Linked DNA regions of Lonchura striata. Each later gene encodes a partner of the first gene's protein in a complex. Links are inferred from orthologs where the notes say so. Each region holds a gene or a part of one and is shown on either strand. Other genes may lie near its edges.

What was found.
Region 2: PPP4R1 (region 1) and PPP4R3A share a complex: the UniProt entries of both Homo sapiens proteins name them as parts of the PP4 complex. The link is inferred for Lonchura striata from reciprocal best matches to the Homo sapiens genes PPP4R1 and PPP4R3A.
Region 3: PPP4R1 (region 1) and PPP4R3B share a complex: the UniProt entries of both Homo sapiens proteins name them as parts of the PP4 complex. The link is inferred for Lonchura striata from reciprocal best matches to the Homo sapiens genes PPP4R1 and PPP4R3B.

What each region holds. Positions count from the first base shown.
Region 1 is NC_134603.1:51,770,904-51,778,670, forward strand, and holds the start of PPP4R1 (serine/threonine-protein phosphatase 4 regulatory subunit 1), read right to left. Parts: upstream 3,020-7,767; 5' UTR 2,855-3,019; coding exon 2,848-2,854; intron 2,574-2,847; coding exon 2,529-2,573; intron 2,434-2,528; exon of another isoform or gene 2,383-2,433; coding exon of another isoform or gene 2,334-2,382; intron 1-2,333. UniProt on the Homo sapiens protein: Regulatory subunit of serine/threonine-protein phosphatase 4. May play a role in regulation of cell division in renal glomeruli. The PPP4C-PPP4R1 PP4 complex may play a role in dephosphorylation and regulation of HDAC3.
Region 2 is NC_134608.1:16,529,678-16,536,763, reverse strand, and holds the start of PPP4R3A (serine/threonine-protein phosphatase 4 regulatory subunit 3A), read right to left. Parts: upstream 3,002-7,086; 5' UTR 1,991-3,001; coding exon 1,849-1,990; intron 1-1,848. UniProt on the Homo sapiens protein: Regulatory subunit of serine/threonine-protein phosphatase 4. May regulate the activity of PPP4C at centrosomal microtubule organizing centers.
Region 3 is NC_134605.1:27,037,250-27,044,578, reverse strand, and holds the start of PPP4R3B (serine/threonine-protein phosphatase 4 regulatory subunit 3B), read right to left. Parts: upstream 3,002-7,329; 5' UTR 2,754-3,001; coding exon 2,612-2,753; intron 1,301-2,611; coding exon 1,245-1,300; intron 1-1,244. UniProt on the Homo sapiens protein: Regulatory subunit of serine/threonine-protein phosphatase 4 (PP4). May regulate the activity of PPP4C at centrosomal microtubule organizing centers.

The DNA.
Region 1 (7,767 bases):
TTCTCCAACAAACCCTCACAGATGTCTTAATATTGCTTGATATCAGATCCCTTAAAAGCCCAAAAAATGCACTGAGAACATAGTTCACTTTTCAAAATAGCCAGTCAATCAATCATACTATTTTGTATTTATCTAATTCCTCCTAAATTACACAACCAGGACCACAGGTATGCCTGCAAGTATTTCTCTCTTATTTAAGTATAGCTTAGTACACTTTTAGCAAGAATGCAGCTGGCAGAATGACACAGACATAAAAGCTGCCAGCACTTCAGTTTTAGTGTTATACTACTTCAGTAGCAGAATGCATTCTACTACTTCAGTAATACACCGCTAAACTGGTGTCTAACTCTGCTACTTGAAAGAGCTGCAAACATTTAAAATATTTACAACAGAGGAATAGTGTAGGGTAGGGTTCAAGCAGGAGCTAAAACTTTGTGTCTTATTTAATTGTCTGTTTCATATGTGCAACCAATCAACTGGAAATTGTGCAAAAGATGTTGTATATGGGTACAAAACATAGCTATTTAAAATAATACTGCACAAGAAACAGTACTTTTGACTAGATATGTACAGTCTCCTTGATCTTATTTTTCTTTAGCACACAGACACCACCCAAGAACAGAATTATGTATAATTTAGAACCATAAAAGTCACTGTGTGACTGAACTACATCCAAATAGCACATATTGATTCATAGAGAGTCCTGTTTTTTTTCCTCCAAAAATACCATGCATAATTATTGAGACATTTGCTTTTATCTACTTCCATCAAAACCTCAGTAATTTTTAATGAGGTTTCAAATCTTTGTATTTCTATGGTTTCTGCCTTCAGGATGCTCTCATCTGGACTGAGTCATATCTCGAAGTATTCATTTTTTTCCATTTTTGAAGACCGTAAGAGTAAGACCAGCACCAGGAACCCACAGCTTCTGTCACCCCTCCAAGGACTACAGATAATTTCAACTACTGTCTTATAGTCAACTAAAACCATAATCTAAGTGGAAACTTAAGAATGCATTTCATTTTTTTGTTAAGTGTGACTCTTCTGAAAAAGTCCTCTATAATCACAGAGAGTTTTCGAACAGCGACTTATCACGCTGAATTAGAAAAAAAAAAAGCAGCCTGAGGGAAAGGCTCCCTCTTTGTGCAAGGCAAAGCACAATAGGAGCCTTCTAAATGTCAGCTGACAAATGTGAAAAAGAAGATGTATCAGTTAAATCCTGAAAAGTTTAAATAGCTGTTCTCTAAAAATGTAAGCCACAAAACACAAGTTTTTTTCCTGTACTCCAGCCCCGGTGAGAGGATGCCCTGCAGACTGCACAGCCAACAAAACACCTTCAGGCAGCAACCAGGGGGTCTGCACACCCACAGCAGGCGCCTGCCTCTACCTCCATTTTCACTTTGCACCCAAAATTCATCCTCCTCTGCTTCCAAGAAGCTCCCTCAGTATCTACACGCTCAACAGACACCTTCTCATCTGAGTAACATCTTAGTCTGCCATGCTAAGGCTACTCAGCCCTGACTTACTAATTTTTGCACCACCCCAGCCACAATTCTACGACTTTGCACCCTGACATTAACTCTTCTCCCCAGATCTCTCCAGCAGGGTCAGGATTCACAGAATCATTTAGGTGTGAAAAGACTTCAGAGATCGTCGTCTCCAACCAGGGACCAAATGCCACCTTGTCGACTGGACCATGCCATTGAGCGCCACGTCCACTTTCCTTAAACACCTCTGGGGACAGTGACTCCACCAGCTCCTAGCCGGTCAATTCCAGTATCTAAGCATCCCTTCTGAAAACAAGTTCCTCCTGGTGTCCTACCCGAACCTGCCCAGCACAGCCTGAAGCCATGTCCTCTCTCCTATCGCTGCTTTCCCCGCAGAAGAGACCGACCCCCACCCGGCCACAACCTCCGCTCAGGGAGATGCCAAGAGCAGTAAGGTCCCTCCTTGAGCCTCTTTTCTCCAGGCTAAACACCCCCAGCTCCTCACAGGACATGTGCTCCAGACCCTTCACAAGGAGGAGAGAGCCTGAGGGGGAGGGGTGGAGGGAAGGAAGGATGGGGGACACAAAAAAAAAGATATACAAATAGAGATATAAAAGGAACGAGCAACCCACATGCTGCTGCAGAGGCAGCAGCCTTAGCCTCCTCCTGCTCCTCCCCGCCGGCGCCCTGCCGTGCCCGGGCCGTGAGGGGACGCCGTGCCCGGGCCGTGAAGGGACGCCGCCCCGCAGGCAGAGCCTCCCCTGCTTCCATCCCTCCGTCCCCCTCCCTCGCTCCCTCCGGGGCGGCCGCTAACGGCGCCGCCGCCCCGCCCGCCGCCCAACGCACCCCGCGGGACCGCCCGGCGCAGCCCCACGCGCGACCGGGACCGGGTCATGGACACCGCCAAGCGCGGAGCATGGCCATGGCTTCCTCCTCCTCCTCCTCCTCCCCGCCGCCTCCCACAATGCACCCTGGGCGCTCCCCGCGGAAGCCACTTCCTCGCCCCAAAGCCGCCCCGCCGCTCCCCCCGTCCCCACTCACATCCGTCGATCTCCTCCTGCAGGTCCTCCTGGAGCAGCGACAGATCTGCGGTGGGGGAGACACACACACGCGCGCACCATGTGCCAGTGCTCCCGCCGACCCTCGGTGCCACGCGTGACCCTGCCCCGCCCGCGGCTGCGCCCCCCCCCCACCCCGAGCGACCCGCCCCGCAGCCCCTGCGCTCCGAGCCCGGACAGCGGCGGGCAGCGCTCCCGAAGCCGGGGCGGGGGAGAGGAGAAGGAGGGGGATAGAGGAGGGAGGGCTGGCGCCTCGCCGGGGAGGCGGCGTGTGCGGGAAGGGGGAGGGGGGCGATGCCTACCCGCCATCTTGCTGCTGCAGCCCCCGCGGGGCGCCCGGCTACATCCAGCCCGCGGCCGGGCGGTGGGAGCGGCGGTGGGAGAGGGCGGGCACCCGTGCTGTCCAGGCCCTGGGCCCGGAGGCGCCTCTCCGCGTCCCCGGGAGAGCCGCGCACGGAGGGAGGGAGGGAGGGAGAGAGGAGGGAGCGGGCGGAGGAAGGCGGGAGGAGGGGTCTGGGCCGGACACGCTGCCCCCGCCTCCGCCCGGCGGAGCCGCTCTCGCTCGCTGCTCGCTCGGGCGGCCGCGCCTACCCTCGGCGCGCTTGACTCACGGCCGGAGCCGCCCGCGCCGGCCCTGGGGCTGGAGAGCGCCGGGGCTCGGCCACACGGCCCGGCCCGCGCTCACCTGCCCTCCACGCTCCTCCGCCAGTTCGGGGCTCGGGCTCCTCCTGCCGCCCACCGACGGGCTCCGCTGCGCAAAGTTGGTGGGGCCACTTGGAGGAAGGGCCCCGACGGTGCTCCTCGCCCTGGTCACTGTGGGGTCGCTTCCAGACGCGGTGGCGGGGCCGCAGTAGTTCTTGCCGCCGGCGCCTGGGGTTACCTGGGGAGAAGGGTTCCGGGACCTACCAGAGAGCAGAGTGTGGCCAGCAGGTCAGAAAGGTGGTCCTCCTCCTCTGCTTGGCGCTGGTGGGGCCGCATCTGCAGTGCTGTGTCCGGTTCTGGGCTCCTCAGTACAAAGAAGACAAGGAGCTCCTAGAGAGGGTTCCGTGGAGGGCCACAAAGATTATTAAGGGTCTGCAGCCTCTCTCATAGGACAGGCTGCGGGAGCCGGGCAATGTTTAGTCAAAAGAGGATTGAGAGGGGTTCTCATTAATGCATATAACTATCTCAAAAGCAGATGGTAAGAAGATGGTTCTAGACTCTTTTGGGTGGCTCCCAGTAACAGGTTGAGGAGCAATGGCCATAAACTGAAACAAAGAAGTTTCACCTCTGCATGAGGAAGAACTTCACACTGAGGGTGGCAGAGCAGTGGAACAAGCTGTTCAGGGAGGTCATGGAGTCTCCCTCTCTGGAGACATTCAAACCCCACCTGGATGTGTTCCTGCTTCACCTGCTCCAGGTGACCGTGGCTTGGCGGGGGTTTGGACCAGATGGTCTCCAGAGGTCCTTTCCAACCCTAATGCTTCTGTGACAGGCAGCTGTGCCACCACCACTGCGTAGCCCACGAGCATCCTTCTCATGTGAATTGCCAAGTTTCTGCAGCTGGGATCCCATGGCTTGAACACCCAGGATATTGCCCCACTGCAGCACTGTGCCTTCCGACTTCTGCTTTAAAAACAGGCAGTTTAGTTGTACATAGACACAAAGGTGCACATGCCTTTCTGCTTTTTTGGCTGTACCTTTTGGTCACTGCTGATGGTTCTCATTCAACTGTTTTAATAGATTTTTCCACACTGTAAATTGGATGAAATAAACGCTCTATTCAGTTGATAACCTGGGCATTTGATAGAGGAAAGGACCATTACTGGTACCAGTGCTATGTGGGCATATTACCTGAGTCTTCCACAGTCTTGTTTTGAACCTCCATAATAACTGATGAAGTTGTTAATACACAAAAAGCAAAAATAAAGAAAAGCAAAATAATTTTTTTTGCTTGCAAAAAAAGATGCAATATCATTAGCACTATTTTTAACTGTGTGTTTGATAGTATGTCTTGTAAGCTGCTTTTTAACAATTTTTTGTTTTATTTGGTGAATTGTACAAGGATTAAATCTCCATAGTCATTCATTCTCTTTGCCATGGTGAATGAAAATGTGTAATCTTCTTTTAAAATCCATACATCTCTTTCCTTACAATCCTGTAGAATAAGCTCTGTCCTATTTGACACCTGTTCAATCTTTGGATGAGCCACTAGGACCTACTGGATACTGATTATCTAACATTTTCTTTTGTTCAGATATATAACCTCAAAATACTGAGTAAATCAAGTAAATTCACCGTGACTAAGTTATATGAACCATGCTATTCTCTGCCAGTGTAATTTAAGAAGGGATTCAGGAGAAATATTTGACATCACAAATCTCTGGCAATGCTAGGTAAGATAGCAGTAGACTTAAAACAGAAAAGTAGACTTAAAACAGAAGGTGTACTTCAAGACATAATTTTATTATCTTTGTAACTGCAAGTTATTTCCAGGAAGTTTTCTCACATCTCCTCTGCATCGTTCACTACAATCAGTTTTGCTCCCACTGAATTCAGTAGAAGTGAATCTAAGAATCTCTCTCACAACTATAATTTGATGCACTTCATTTTACTGAATGAATCAAGGGGGTCTGACTCCTTTTTCTAACCATTTAGGAAAAGGCACTAATGCTCACAAGCCATAGATTACTGTGATCTGAGAGCATCAAAGTTACCTTAAGCATTATTAGAGTTATTATCATAAGGAAAACTTAATGAGATACATCTGTGAGCACTGGGTTTACAATGACCAGAATTTCTGCTCTTAAAATGTATTAATAGTGTTAATTATCATCAATTAATTACTGCTCCATATATAATACTCTAGAGTATTTAGGATTTTTTTTAATTTCTATGTATTTGTTTAAAGAGAGGATGTATAATTTATTGAATAAAGCAATGACAGTTGCAAGCAGTCATACTGAACATAAGATCACACAAATTACTTTTAAATTACTTCCTATGTGCTTGTGATCTTCAGTGGTCATTGGTTCTTTCTCTGTCGGCAGGACCATGTGGTATTTAAATAGCGCAGATAACAAGGATCAGTGTGCTACAGATTATAATTGTCCGGGAATTGCAGGGGATTTTGTGCTTGGTGTTACCTCTACAGCATTAGACTTTGCTCCTCAGGCACAGCACCATCACTAGGAGCCATCAGGATAGGTCTCTCCCTCTGTGAGTAGGAACTCTGTCAAAACCTTTGGCTCATACAGTCACAACACTCATGGTGGGGGAAAATAATTTAATTAAAACAAGAAAAAAAAAAGTCTTAGCACCAAGACGCAATGAACATTCCCATTTAATAAATAAGTAACCAGGTTCTTCTAAACTTGTCCTCAGTAAATCCAGAGGTACTTCTTCAAGGGCCTGATCCAAAGTTCAAGTTGATGGTAAGATTCCCTGCCACTGGTCACAGATGAGGCAGACAGAGAGCCTTGTAAGTGTAGGACACATTCTGGCTCTTGCAGATGAGGGGTCATTCCAAACCAGCACACATAATTATGGAAAAAATTTTTCATGACAGCTTTGTTTTCTTAGACGAGACCTGTTAAGGAGCACATAATATAGTACCTACCAAAACGTTCCAGCAGACTTTGCTGGAGTTCTTATAGTCAGCTTAAGTACCCTTACAGGCACTGGGAAGTAAAGAACTGAAGAATGATAAATTCACATTCTCACACTCTATCTCAAGGAAAAACCACACTACAAACACTACACCACTGCTTCAAGCTAGGGATGGAAGGATACAAATGGAAGACTCCTTGACAAGATCCTTTGCACATGATAAAAGACACCTGTATTGTTATCTCCAGGATGTATCTCAAAAAAGTCCATAGCAATCAGCAAGACATTTCCATAAAGTGTAGTATTTACATAAAGTACTATATAAATCCTTTCATACTTGCACATTGTACACAAGATACCCGACATCCACCTAGACATACTTGCAGTAAGTTATTCTATAGTTTGATTGGTGACATCTTTTCATTTAAAACTGTTCTAAGGACCTCAGGCTCAAAAACACTGCTCCACATGGAACTCACCCATGTTATTTTATTTATTATCTAAGGTATTATCTATTTTTGTTCATTTGCTTGAAGAAGCAGGTCTGATCAGATAGTGTCAGCTTTCAGTGTCCATGTATTAACTTGCTTTGCATTTCTCCCAGGCTACCTTCATGTGTGGGAAGAGCTTCCCATAAATATCTGCAGACATCTCTCCATCCTCCTTTGGATTTCTCTGTGAAACTCTTTTCCTGTGAAGCCTATCAAGAAATGGATCAGGGTTAGACTGCTGGTGCACCAAGGCAGCTGCTTATCCTCTTGAGTAATCCTGACTCATTGTCTTCTTGGCCACCCCCAGGATTCCATCTGCCTGCATGTGTTGTCCTTGATGGTTCAACCATTCCCTCTTTGCTTTCTGGACTGCCATTTTGTTCTTTACAGAGTGTTTGACCAAATTTGGCCCATAAGTAAATATACAGCTTAAGATACATATACATACAGAAGCACACACATAACTTTAATATGTATGGAAGCATGTGAAAACCCAGTGGCTGAAGTCTGGCATTTACAGTCAATATGCATTTGAAAATATACTAAAGCATTTCTGCTAAAAAGAGGTGTTCACCAGGAAACGTTTCCTTTCTTCTCCTTTCCCTTTTCCTTCTCTTTTCCCCTTCCCTTCCCTTTCCTACTCTTGTTCTTTTTTCCCTCTCCAATAAAAATACTGGAGGGGGTGGAGTTTTGTTTGGTTTGGGTTGGGTTTTTTTATATATCTGTATTTCTTATGGTTACAAAACTTTTTAACTGCATCACTCAGTTTTTTGGTTTTTTTTTTTTGTTTGGTTTTTTTTTTGTTTTTTTTTTTAATTTTTGCTGTTTCCTGGGCAAGAGTTTGAGCTGGTGACTACTGGCAAACCTGGTGACTTTAGCATTAAAGTTCTGCTACCACTGCTCTCAGATAAGGCCTTGCAGAAGGATTTTAAACACACAATATGCCAACCATTAATAAATTAACACCTAAATTTGCTGCGAAAGAGCCTGGTTAATATAAAGTTTGTCTTGTGGGTTCCTAATATCATTCCAGGTCAGCATCAAATTCTGTGGCAAGTTCAGTGATGATCAAACCTCTTAAAACTAGGAAATACCCACCTAGTGCGAAAATAAGGCTGCACCTGGAGCTTGCCGGGGCTCTTG
Region 2 (7,086 bases), on another chromosome or scaffold:
TGGGAGTAAACAAAATATAAATCAAATTTTATGAGGTGTCTACACAAGCAAGTTAGAAAAGCTAGCCTATTACTAGAGTGGACATTTACTCAGGACTGATATTACCTACTATATAAAGAATTTTAACTGTATTATTCAATACTTTGAAGTAGAAAGTATGCAGTAGAGAGAGGTCTAAAGTGTATATCCTACCAAATAAATATCTGTGTATTTGGTGCAATTAGTAAGTTTGAGACATTTCCTGCTTTGATTAGAGTATCTTAGCTATGCCAGCTAAAGCAATGACTTAATTTTAGTTTTTAGTACCAGTCTGTATCTTCCCTCTTACAGATGCTCATTTATTTACAAGAGAGCTGGCACCAACAGTGCAACTCAGGTTTTAATGAGACTGAAGCACACATATCCCACTAAAAGTTAATAAATGGATTTTAGTTCAAATTAGCTATTTCTTTACAAGGAGGTTAGGAGCTGCAGGTCTTTCGATTTCTTTTCTAAAAAAGAATTTTTAAAATTTTTTTTAAAAAACAGAAAATTTTTAATATATAGGAGAGAACAGTTTTTAAACATGTCCCCAACAGCCAGGACAGTATCTACAACAACACATACTGTAAAAATTAGCAAAGAAAATTAGTGATAAATTTTTTAATTCCCTCCACATGTTGAAATTAAATTAAATTTATTTCCATTTTGAATGCTTTCTCTTGCTATATGAAGCTGCTCAAGATTTAAATGTATCTTCCTTGCTGTAAAATAAATAAAAATCAGGTGCCAGTGTAACCTGTTAAAGTATAATCAAAAATCTGTGAGATCCGAGAGCTTATCAGACACCCAATTATCAAAATCCTGCTTAGATGACTGATTTTTCCATATCAGTTTATGATCTTTGCTGTAAGCATTACATATTGTACAGTTTATCAGAACTTTCCCAAAAAGTAAGGATTAATGATTCTCAAGTTGCTTCTCATCCGACTTCCTACAATAAAAAAGCTTAATAAATAAAATTACAAGGTCTGTTGACAGTCAAAAGCATAACTAGATCTACATGTCACTAAATACAGTAGCTATACATCTAATGAAGTAGTAAGTCATGCATTGACAGACTTCAAAAGCAAAACGGTACAAGGCTGATACTGTGAAGTACACATTCTAAATCTCTGATCACAGCAGTCATGAACTCACTTAACCAATAGTCAAGACTAGCCCAAACATGTAGCTACAGGGCTATATTACTCTTAACATATACTCCTGACATATGCTACCAGAAACCAATTGCTGAAGGACTGAGTACTCCCATCCCATTAAAAAAAAAAAAAAAGGCATCACTGAAAATGCTGTTCTGCCCCTTGTATTGCCTTTACTACCATAACTGTACTTTGAAAACCGTTGATAGCTGTTAGAATGTCTTACATAATTCTAAAAGCTACCAAAAGGGCAAGTGGACACAAAAGGGTATTAGCCATCCAACGATCTTTTAAAAACAAATACTAAAACCCAAGATCTAAGTTTTGAACAACTTTCATGAGAGGATCACTTCCAGCAAGATCCAGGGATCAGTTTTGAAACCAGACCAGTAGATATCCAAACCCATGCAAGATTTACAAGGAGACTCGAACGCATTTTGCATGCAACACTGTGTACGCACTAAGTGCCTACTATGCTTACACTTGATGGCAATCTCCTGTTTCTTTCACTTGGCCTAGCACGAATGAACCCTGGTTAGTGCCTGCCTGCTTTTAGGAATACCATTTGAATTATGCAGCAAAACATTAACGCTACAAACACAAAGCTACACCCAGTTCCTTTCCTGGGCAGGACGAGGAAAGACTGTACCTTCAGCCGTACACTTACCATCACTCTCTGCCCTGACTAGCAGGGACATGCCCTTGAGCCTCTCCACGTAGCAAGAGGACACATGCCCCGTGCCTCGATCATCCCACTGGCGGTCCTCATTTAGCGTGTACACCTTCACCCTCCGCCGGGTGTCCGTCATCCTGCCGCCTGCCGCACCGCAGCCACCACTCTGGCTGGCAACCGCTGGAGGAGCACAAGGCTGCTCGGGGGCCAGGCCCCCCTCAGGGGAGGCGAGCGGAAAAGAAGGCAGCAGCCCCACACGGGCACGCCAAGCAAGCTCTTCTTACTCCTCTTCAGTGCCCCAACGGGATCCTCATTATCGAGGGTAACAAGAGGATTGGGGAAGAGGGAGAAACAAGAGGTGAAGATGTGAAAAGGGGAGCTGCTCCTTCAGGTACAGTCAGGCGCTGCACAAAAGGCGAGTAAACCTAGGCAGGGAGAGCCGCAGAGAGGAGAGAGGCTCTTTGCAGGGCGAAGGGCAGGCAGGAGAGGCGGCGAAGGAGGGACTCCGGAGGAGAAGGGGATCCACGGTAGTGGAAGCGGCGGCGGGCTGCAGCCGGCCCAGCGTGACAGGAGCAGGCGCTCCTGGAAGCCGGAGCCCTGCCGAGGAAAACAGGGGGGAAGCTGGTGAGGCCGGAGGGAATCAGAGGAAGGGACGCAGCCGGGAGCGGGGCCGCTCGCCCCGGCCTGTAGCCCGGCTCTATTGTGCAGCAGCAGCCCAGGCCCGAAGCCCCTCGCTCGCCGTCCGTCAGCGCGGGGCTCCAAGGAGCCGCCCTCCTTCCCGCCCGGGCTGCCCGGGCCTGCGGACACTGCCCGTCCGGGGACAGGGTGAACGGCCAGCCGAGCTCAGCGCCCCGTCTTCCCCATGGGCTCCGGTCGCAGGCGGCGGCTTCACTCCCAGCCTGACTCCGCCGCCATGTTCTTCTTCCTCCTCCTCCTCCTCCTCCTGGTGCTGCGGCGGCTCAGTCCCGACTCCCCAGCGCGCCTTGAGATGTGGCTGCGCTTCCAGGCGTTCGGCGGCCCGGCCAGCAGAGAAACGCTGTGCCCTGCGGAGGGAGGGGGCGATCGGCAGCGGCTGGTGCGGCCCGGCTCCCTCCGGCTCCGCCTCAGTCAGTGCGCGGCCGCCATCTTGGTTTCACCTCTCACTGGAGGCGCGGGGTCTCCCAGCCAGCGGCAGCACGGGCCGCCCGCCGGCATTTAAAGGGCCAGCGGCCCCGCGCGGAGGACGCGCATGCGGCCGTGGCAGCGCCGTTACCGCGGGTCCGGGGCTGGCGCGGCGGGCCCCGGAGTTGACGTTTTCTTAGACTTTTTTTTTTTTTTTTTTTTTTTTTTTTTTTTTTTTTTTTTTTTTTTCTCTCCTGTCACATCTTGCCGAGTGATCCCAAAGTTAAACGGCTTTTGGTGAATATCTGTTGGATCTCCGCAGTCATAGATGGGATAAAAGAATTCCAATATCAGAAGCTGTCGAGGCTTGACGGCTGCTGCCAATATCTGAGCATATGTTTGACAGATTTCCCTAAAATATGTGAAAACGCTGGTGCATTTGGGACCCGGCAGCGCCACTGCAGAAGAGTCCATTTCACACTACCTTATAGATAGTCACTGTACATGGGAGCTCACTGCAATATGTACTCTATTATTTTATGCCTTTGAGTAAGTCCTGATACTCGTTTATCAAAGTGAGTTGTATTGAGGGTGGTTTGAGCCCAAACAACACATTTGCAGCTTTCACCAGGATTAATTATGTATCACAAGGAATCCTCTAGTCAAGTCCTGTTTTCCTTTGTCCATCTTCTATTTTGCTTGGCCTGTTGAAAGACAATGCCAGCAGGATTGATAGGCAGCTTCCTGAGCAAGATCCCAGGGTCACAGCAGCAGCCTGGCAGAGCTTGAGCGTTGGACAATGCTCTCAGGCACATGCTGTGGCTCTTGGGGTGGCCTGTGCAGGGCCAGGACTTGGATTTGATGATCCTGATGGGTCCCTTCCAAATCAGAATATTCTGTGGTTCCTGAAGTGCCCAGACACAGCCATTTGGCCTTTGCTCTGATGCCCAAGGGCTGGTTAAGAATACAAGAACCTTTGAGAGGGTTGTTTGGGTGCCTAAGGACATCGCTGAAGGCGCGCTGTGCTTGTTCTCAGCGCGGTGTTCTTGGCCAAAGCAGCGACAGGTTTGAAGAGATTCAGGTGTCCGGGAGCTGTGGCTTGTGGGCCTGGCTGAAGGGGAGCACCGCACAGCACGCGCACAGGCCTGGGCAGCTCCTGAGGGGCTGTTCCTGGGCAGCTCTCAAGGAGCTGTATCTGGGCAGGTGCTGTGCCAAAATCTCCCTCAGGCCAACCTGGAGATGGATTTTTGTGACTTCAGAAAAGATTGATGTCACTTAGAGAAAACTCTTGTAGGACTGTTATATTAACGTACCATTTACAAATTGTACCCTCTTGTGGCCATCAGATTAAGTAAAGACCGCACTGCTCACTGCAGTTTTTTTTTTTAATTTTTTGTTTTTTTGTGAATTGAAAACAAGAACTTAATCAGATTTCAGTTTGCATGGTTTGCTTAATGCAAATTTTGGGCTCAGCTTCTTTTAATGGGCCTTGAGTTATCTTGAACAACTGAACAATGCTCGATCCGACAATAGTGCCTACTTGTCAGGTTTTAACCCAGTTCTCATTATATTTGGCAAGGGAGTTTTATTTTTCCTAACATTTCTACCCCAGTCATTCCAGAAAAAAAGGTTGGGCATTGAGAGCAACTTCCCATGCTGGAAATTAGCTGGGAAAGAAAGAAACATTCTGTTTATTTTTCTTGGAATAATGAGTTTGAAAGCAAGTCTGTCAGGTCACACCTCAATGCCTTCTCTCCATTTCTACTCGTTTGAAAGTTTGTGTCTAGAAGGAAATATCTTCAGGCATGAGGAGAGGCTGTTATTAACACTGAGTTTAAATGTTTAACCTTTTTAGTTCCCAGAAATAATAAAGGACCTAGCCCTGACAGAAACTTTTGCCCATCAGGAACCAAGTAATAAATGATGAAATGGAATGTTGAATACTGTTTTAAACTTTCATATTCCTAGGAAAGTAACTATACATAGATCAATGCAATAGGAATAAGCCTAAACTGGGTTTACCATAGTAAATATGGGATTACCATATTCTTGCACAGCAGTCAAGAATAAAGAACAAGATAACTTTTTTTTTCAGTGTCTAGTAATAATTTTGGGAAAGAAAATTGCATTGTTATTGTGAATAACTTCAGGTCACACATATAAATTTGGTTCTATATACTAAGGCATTATTAGAGTTCCTAAAACTCTTAGCTAACTATTTTCTAAAAGAAAAAAAAATGTTAGGGAAACTAACAACTTCATACTTTATTATGTATAAATAGAGTATAAATAAAGTATAATTCATACTTTATTATTATATACTTTATTATGGTGAAGATTATTGCTAGAATGAAAGTCTGTACTTGCTTGAGTATATAGATCTGGCTATACTCAGTATGTGCAAACAAGGTTACAATCCATACTACACACACGCAGACACTCTCTATGTCTTCTTGTTCCCAAGGCATGTATTCTGACTTGTGCCCCAAAAACCTGTGGAAAATGAATGACTGAGTGCAAAGAAAAAATTAAATGGAAAAATTATCATAATAGGGGGAGGCTATAAAGAAGATGTCTGTACAGGAGTCAGAATATTGTGATCAAGAAGAGGGGAGATTCAGAAAAAATATATTTCTAGTTTAGTGGGGAAGAAAACAAAGCAGTTTAAAATAAATACATACAGTAGACAAAAAGCAAACCTAGCAATCATTACAAGTTATGAAGCACAGAAAAAATGGATAAGGATTTCAATAAATTTGCATGGTTGGTAGTTTTAGGAACAGCTCATGTTTCCTAAATCTTAACACTCTTATAGGCCTGTTATATCAAGATTTTAAAAATGTTGATATTGCTACCAAAAAAATGGAATTGTTTAATAAATAAATTTTATACTTGAAAGAATGTGCAATATATTTGTATCATACAATGATGACTAAGTTCTTTCCTAGTCATTATTTAGAGGGATATTAAACAATTTCTCTTAGAGAGAAACTTATTCAAGTATACAAGTCCTAAAAAACTTGAATTTGAGAGTCCTAAAGAGGCTTGTGTGTGTGATCTCAGGAAGTATGAAACATTATTAACTTTTAATAAAGCTTAAATTATTGCAGAAATTCTGGAAGACATGAAGACTGACTATTAGTATTCAAACTGAACAAGTGAGAACCCAGGTAATAGTAGGCTGATTTATCTGACATCAGTCACAGACAATAAATGCTCACACAGAATGCAATAAAGATGGGCTTATAGCAGTAGCAGCTGATGTGGCTTTAGCAAGAAAAATTTAATTTATTGTTAAATTACAATGTTGCTCATAAGCGTAATGGAGCAGATATACATGGATAGTTCTCAGGTATTTTTCTGGAAAGTTAAAATTGTATTCTGTGAAGAAAGCTCACATTGCATGGGTCACATTTGAGGTGACTGGTATAGCTCAAAAGGAATTATTGATCTGTGGAGATGATCCTAGATGATTGTGAGAAATCAAGAGCAGGACTGATGGTAGTTAGGATTTCTTTTAATGTTTGGAAAGTCAATGTAAAATCTCTGTGCATAAAAGCTGTGTATGACTCAGAGAGCCTGGAAGAATGGCAAGAAATGGATGAGGCTATAAGGGTCAGAAACAGAAAGCTTCACTTCCTGAAGGTGCTGATGTAGAAAGAATATCCTAGCCTGGGACAGCTGGGAAGGTTACTGACAGCTGTTTCCGGCTTATTCCAGCTTTACAAATGTTTGTGAGCTCATCAGTGCCTCCCAGTAATTTAAGGCAAGCAATGACACTTTCACATAAAATTTTGAGCTGTAAATAGTGATTGTTCAAGACCTGATGGATAAGCAGCTCAGGCAGTCAGGCTGTGGTCCTAACAGGACCTTTCGGATACAGCCAAACACAGGGTCACATCTATGGGAATAAATAGTAAGGCAGCTCTGAAAGAAGCAAGGCTGCATAATAAACAAGCAACCAAACACAAACTTCTGATACTGCTCTGGGTCTGTAAGATCCTATAATATGCTTTTTGGACAGATTGTAAACTAGCACACTGTGGAAGAATGTAACATCAGGAATAAAAGTAGCTTTAATGCCACATTCTATAATTCTGGTGTCCTCATGGTTAACAAATTTTAAGACAT
Region 3 (7,329 bases), on another chromosome or scaffold:
TACGATTAATCAGTTGTAGTTTCAGGAAACAGGGTGTGAAAGGAAGCATTTTAAAACTTTACAGCAACAAATCTGCATTTGTATTTCACTGTGTATAGGTTTCCTCTAGTAAACAGGAAGCAGTTCAAGACTCTTGGCTTCTGGAGCTCTGCAGAGCTCCTTCTTTAGCATGACCCCCCCCAGTGAAAGCCTACACCTACCAACCCCTAACAAGTGAACACCAGAAACCACAGCAAACACCCCCTGGAAAGACTGGCCCAAAACTCCACCTCATGCCTAACCTAAAATGAGCCAACCAATGTCTACAAGATAAAAAGTCTCTTTCTCAAATTCTTACACTGTAACTTGTCACTATAACAAAATCCTCAGAGATGTGTCCCTCTGTGACTTGGGAAGAACAAAATTACTGTTTTTTACAGTGCTGAAACACTTCTGGATACCATAACGATGAAGAACAAGTATCAAACACTGAAGGAACTGAGACTCTACTGTAGAGCAAAGAAACAGTGAGAAAAAATTCCAGAAAACCCATGAGAACAATGCAGGCAGAGCCATCAAAAATGCATGCTGAAAAAGGGAAAACAATAAAAGCAGAAGAGATTCAGTAAGCTGATTTTTTTTCAATGGATGAAACAAAAATAACTTATCAACACAGCTCTCAACTATTTTACTTCATTGTCTTGCAGGAGGTTTACCCCTAGGAAAGGTAACTTTCACCATGGCTTGTGGCCTTACCTAGGACAACAGGAGCTTTCAGGGCTTCAAATAAAAACTAAACAGCAACAACAAAGAAAGAAATCCCACAAAGACAAATTCCTTCATGTTATTTCCAGAAAAATAACTCAATCAATAAATAAATACACTTCAACAGAGCTGGTCAAAGTTTTGCCTCCCTAATTTTAATTATTTCAGATAATTTTAATTATTTCAGGCCTGGCATGGGAGACAAAAGTTATACATACATGTTTCCAACTATCTTTCCTGTAATGATTTCAATGTCTCTTCAAATTGCATATATTATCTTCAAAGTCTGAAGTCCAAAAAGTATTTTTCTAGAAGACACACATATTAATTTCTAGAATGTGAAGTGTTCAGCACCGACAGGCTTCTAAGCAATTTTTTTACCATCAACAATTGCATGTCCTCCTGCTTTTCCTTTTTTCCTGAAAAAATGCAATTACTCTGAGCACAAAACAATTCCTCAGCATCAGCAACCAGAGAAAGTAAAGCCTAGCAATACTTGCCTGCTGTTTTTGATATGCAGTATTTGGATTTATCTTCGATTCTAACAGTAGTGAACCTGAAAAAGGTACGAAGAGAGATTTACTGAATCCAACAAAACAAACATCTCCACACACCTCGCACCAATGCCCACGTGCCAGCCAACAGACTCTCAGCTTAATCCAAATCTCACAGAAAATCCGTAAGAACCACCTCCTTTAAATATAATTTCCTAAAATAAGCCAGATAAGACAAAATTCAACAGGAAGATCCCTATTAAAATACATTTTTCTCTTCTAGTTTATTCCAAAATCCACTGTAGCACTCTTTTCCTTCTGAAATCTGGTGCAAGCACCAGATTTTTTAGTGGTCTTTTAGGCCAACTAATGCAAATTCCAGCAGGTAATGTGCTGCCCAGCATAAAAAATGCTTTTGTCCAGAGAAGCCACATGGGCCACTTGCTTTTATTCCCTTCAGCTGCCCTTCAGAGGTAAATCATCCAGCTACTACAAATGCAGGGACTTCATCTTGTGTATGCAAGTAGTGTATGTCTCCTGGCAACAGCTCTAGAGCAATTTATACTAATCTTAGGTGGTTTATTTAGCACATTAGCACCTGTCTGCTGACAAAGTGGGGAGCATATACCTCCCCGCTCTAAAAAAAGACCCTTTAAGGTGACTTTAAAGTGCAATAAAACACAAGGGATGCCACCCGACTGGAATACAACCAGGGAATTCCTGAGGAGAAAAAGGGCAGCAAAACAACTTCTTCACAGCAGTAAGAAATGGAAGACTAGAACACCTCAAAAGCAAAGGCTATTGCTCTGAAAGAGAACAAAATGTCCTCACATGTCACAGCTTCATCTCTGTTCAGGCTGGGGAGCTGCATGGAGCTGAGTCAGGGAAGGTTTAGGATGGACATCAAGGAAAGGTTCTTCCCCCAGAGGGTGGTCAGGCACTGCCCAGGCACTGCCCAGGCTCCCCAGGAAATGGTCCTGAGGCTGCCAGAGCTGCAGAAGCGCCTGAACAACCCTCTCAGGCACAGGGTGGGATTGTTGGGAGGTCTGTGCAGGGCCAGGAGCTGGACTTTGATGATCCTGATGGGTCCCTTCCAGCTCATAATTCTATCAACTGGGAGGGGAAAAGTCTAGGACCACAGTAGCAAACGCTGCTATGGCTTATGTGGTAAGGAAACTTCACGCGAGCTGCAAGACAAGGGAAGGCACGGAGAGTAGAAATAATAACAACAACAACAGTAATCCTCGTGCGTGATCCAAGGGAAGGCACTATCAGCCGAGCCCGGCGATGGCGGGCGGCAGCCCCGGCGGTGGGGCCCGAGCCGGGCGGGGGGCGAGGGGAAGCGGCCTGGGCAGCCCCGGCCACGCTCTCACCGTCTGACTCGGCGCGCACCAGCAGCGACATCCCCTTCAGCCGCTCCACGTAGCTGGAGGAGACGTGCCCGGTGCCCCTGTCGTCCCATTGCCGATCCTCGTTGAGCGTGTAGACCTTCACCCGCCGGCGGGTGTCCGACATGGTGCAGCCCCGGGCCCGCTCCGCCTCCGCGGGGGCGATGGAGCGAGGGCGGCGGAGAGCAAGCGGGGCCGCCGGGCCGCTCAGAGGCACCGCGGGGCCTTTAACGCGCCGCTTCCCATGGCGAGTCAGCGCCGCCGCGCCCCGGCCCGGGCCTTGCTGGCGCCGCTCCGCCTCGGCAGCTACTACAGCGCCGCCGCCATCTTGTAACCCGGCTCGGGCCGCCTTTCTCTTCCTCCCCGCCCGGGCACGGGTTCCCCTCGCAGGGGCTACGGCGGCCGCGCGCTGCCGCCGCGCCGCCGACGGGACGGCGGCCACGGGGGCGGGGCCGCGCGCGCTCCTTCAGGCGCCGAGGCGGGAACGGGAGGTGGGGATAAAATGGCGGCTGCCGACCGCCGCAGGGGATATGGGCGCATCACTTGCCTTTTAACGCCCTAAAGGGGGAATTGCTCACATATTCCCCCGAAAAAAACTAATTTTTTTAAAAAATTCTTCGTTTTTTTCTTTTTCTTTTTTTTAAGTCTGTCTAAAGGCTGGCGCCACCGCTGACGAAACACGCCTCCGTCCCTCACGCCACAGAAAGTGCCACCCACGGCCGTCACACAAAATGACGGGCGCGCTCCATACCCGACCAGGGTAAATTTAAACAGCACACAGAACTGAAACAGTTTCAATTTTTAGGAACAAAAGGTGTCCCCTGCATCACAAAACGGCAAAAAGTTAGTGAGCAGCAACTCCTTACAGCAGCAGCCATACTGTAACACGCTGTCTGTGCCTGCTTGGTACATCTCCACAGAAGGCTTGAAAGCTAAACTGCTGGGGAATCTTCAAAAATGAGAGAAACGTGCTTAATTAGCTCTTATACACAGCATACAGTTTAACACAGACCACTTGCCAAGCATCGCGGAGTCCGTACCTGTTAAGTTTTTCACACTAAAAACCATCTACACGTTTCCTCTGTACAACAAATAAATAATTACATCTCCGTGCTTGCGTGGGAATAAGGAAAAACGACCCAAAAGTTTTCAAGGAGTAAAGCTGTGTGAAACAGTGAGAAACTGGGGACAAGGGGAAGCTTGAGTGTGTCTCCAAACCAAATTCTTGAAGCTCTGAAGAGGAAGGAGGGAGGACAAGTTCTCCTGAGGGCAGGGTGTGCCTCATTCCCAGACAAAGTCAGACTTTCCTGGCTCTTGCCTCACGGTGAAAGCAGTTACACCGGTATGGCCCTTATTCACACGACTGGCATTTCTATGCTCTCAAATTCAAATGTGGCTCCAAAGCAAGCGAAAGAAAGTGCTTCCCAAACTATGTCCTCAAAGTAACTACCTGCAGCTTTTCCAAACATTCTCTGGGCAGATTAAAAAAACTTAACATCTAAGTAACATTCAAGTCTCAGCTTTTGCTCTGATGTTCATTGTAGCAGTCACCAAGAAAATACAAGATACAACTCTTAGAATTTTAATATACATTTATGTTTAGCTGTATAGGAGCACACCTTGGGACATGTGCATCATTATGGGTAAGTGAGTCAGTAACTATAAAAAGACCGTGTTAAGTGGTTTCAAAATCCTGGACTGAGAGTCACATGAACCAGTTTACAGTCAGGTTCCACACAAGCCTTCCTCACAAGGCATTACAAACTGAGCATATTTCTACCTTGGAGAAAGCTCAATAAAAAGCAAACACACAAATAGGAACACAAACCCCAATGACCACAACATATTTCTGCCTCAGGACATCTGCTGCTCATGAACTCCCTCTCCCCTCTGCATGACTTCTGTGCGTGCTTTTTGGCTCTTCAAATCAAATGCACAAAAATAAAAGCATGACTCCTACTAATGACTAAATGCAGCACTTCTCGGGATATATAAAACAGCAAGAAACCACAGCATAGTATTTTGGAGCAAATTCTTATGGTGAATTACAGAAAGGAGGTATGCGCATCAGAACTAGCATGAAAAACTATTTCTTACACTTCAGCTGTGAAATAAATCTATGATCTCTCCAGGCATGAATTCAATGACTTCTGTGGAAAATATCACTCCAGAAGTCATTGGGATTGTGCTCACTCAGATGTGGGGCTTCTCTCTACCCAAAACAGCATCCAGGGGGTTGTAAAGCCCAGGATGACCCTGCCATTGGTACCCAGAACCAGCAAGTCAATTCTGGGGGCCTTTCCTGGACAAAACATGCAATACTTGCCCCAACAAATGTTACATACTGCATTTAAACCCAGGCTAAGACCAGGAAAGCATCCAAGCCTCTGCTCTTTAAGACAAAGCAAAGCAACATTTTCCACAGTGCACCTGCCAGCAGCTCATCATCCCCATTACCACCATCAAGTTATCAATGCTGAGAATTCTCTGTTCTTCATCAAAGCAAAGGATTTCGTTAGGGTGGACAGAAGACAGAGCAACTCACAAGTGTCACTACATGAGCTGTGGAATGCCTTTTTTTGTTTTCCCAAGCAAGATGGGCAATTAATTCCTAAATAATTTAAAATTTCTTAGAGTGAAATTAAGAGACTGTATCATTCCCTCTGGCAGGTGATCCCAGAAGTACAATTAGGCCAGCTCTTACACTTTTATGATAGTACTTGTAATATATATTGTTGACATTTGAAGACACACCAGCTCCTGACTCTTTGCACTTGCACGAAAATTTCAGACTTGTCAAATAAAAGGCATTTCTGGCCCTCCTGAGCTGTTGCAATGCTGCACCTGCCCAGCTTCTCTCCAAGGCAATTTCTCTCAATGGCTCCATTTAAGACAGGTCATTACAGAAGCTAATTATGTTGAGCAGTAAGAAAGAAGAAATAAATCACTGAGCTTGTTCTCTTGAGCACTCTGGACTCACCTGGTTTCTGATCATAGCTGATCCCACCTGAGAGTCAAGCTCCTCCTGCCACGGCCCTGCACCGGCTCTAGGAGAGCCTGGGATGTCCTTCCCTCCAGGAAGGGTCAGAGCAGCACACGCTTACTCAACTCTTGGCTGCCATTGAGCTTCTCTCCTCAGGTAAGAGCAGCTGCTTTCTGCTCCTCCCAGCCAGCTCCCAAGTGTGCTCTTCCCCCGCCCCTTCCCACAGGGCCTAAAGCTGGTTCCAGATGCAGAAAGTCAGGCTGACTGTACAGGTTCTGCCACAGCAACATTAAGGTAATTTTGCTCCTTTATCATCATCCACCAAACAGACAATGCCCCAGCACTGCAGTAGCTGCTTTACTGAGACCAGCTCCACAACACAGCCTCTCAGAAATTAGTCTACAATAAGGGGAGATAAACCTTGGAAATCCACTTAGATTGGGGAGGTCCATTTCTGGGAAGAGTCACCAGAAATGGCAACATCTGAGTTTCTGTTCAGGGACTTTAACATTGACCTACATAATTTTATTAACACTATTCATATGTAACAATCATGTATCAGTCAACTGTCACAGTAAGAAGTGACATCTGAATTCTTACTAAGAAATAATAAGACACAGCCTTCAAAGAGGAAGAAAAGATTGCCAAAGAAATCTTTCGTCAATCTTTCCAAACTTTTTCTATTTTTCAATCTTACATCATGAAAGACAGGAACAACTACAGAGCAGCATACCAGTAATTTCTTTCTTTAATATTTAAGTTAGAATTAAAAAAGGAGTAATTTTTTACTGTACATTCCCACTTCTCTCCCCCATGCTTTATTTTTTCTTTCAGGTGGTTCAGAGCCCACCTGCCACCAGGTGGGAAGTTGATTTTATTAGTCCTGCATACAAATTGGTGAACATCAGAAGGACCCTGTTTGATTTTCAAAGTCTGTACCTCACAGTAGAAAAACGAGTCACTCTCATGAGCCCCTGGGAAATGTTTTGAAGTCTAAAATAAATCAGTGAACTCACTGATGCAATGTAATTAATAGGACTAAGAAATTCTTAATGAGAGTGTTTCAGGGAAAGATTTATCACATAATTGTTCATTCCAAAAAAAGTATTTTAATTTTAATGTTTTAATTATGCATTTTAAAAGTCAGTGCTAATGAACCCAGGTGATAAGGGGTGATGTTTCAGCCAAGTTCTGCTCACATATGCTGAGATATATTCTGCTACAGGTCTGAACATTTTAAGAGTGATGTATTAATCTAAAACAGAGTCCATCATGTTAAAGGTGACACTTCTAAGTCTTTATGACTTGCTCAACATTCTTGTGCACTGAAAAGCCAATAAAACTTTGGCCAAGTGTGACTCTTGACCAAGCATACAGGATAATTCTTTCTCCCACAGAAGAGTTGTTCAGTTCTTACTTCTCATATTCACAGTTTTGAGTGGATAACTCAAAGGAGAATAACCTTTAGCACTGAAATATCTTCTCAGTCTACAGAATTCCATGTTCTTGTATTCTCATCTCAACCTTGCTACACAAGATGAGGGCACTGCTTGCTCCTGGTTTTATTTTCAAGTTTTTAATCAACTTGAAGGCCTTGACGTTCTACATCACCTTTAAGCATAAATAAGTATCTATTTTATAAATATGATTTACTACCATCCACCTTCAGATTCTTGTGAGGACATGTAGAAATTCTAGCAAAGGTCACTTGTATTTTCAC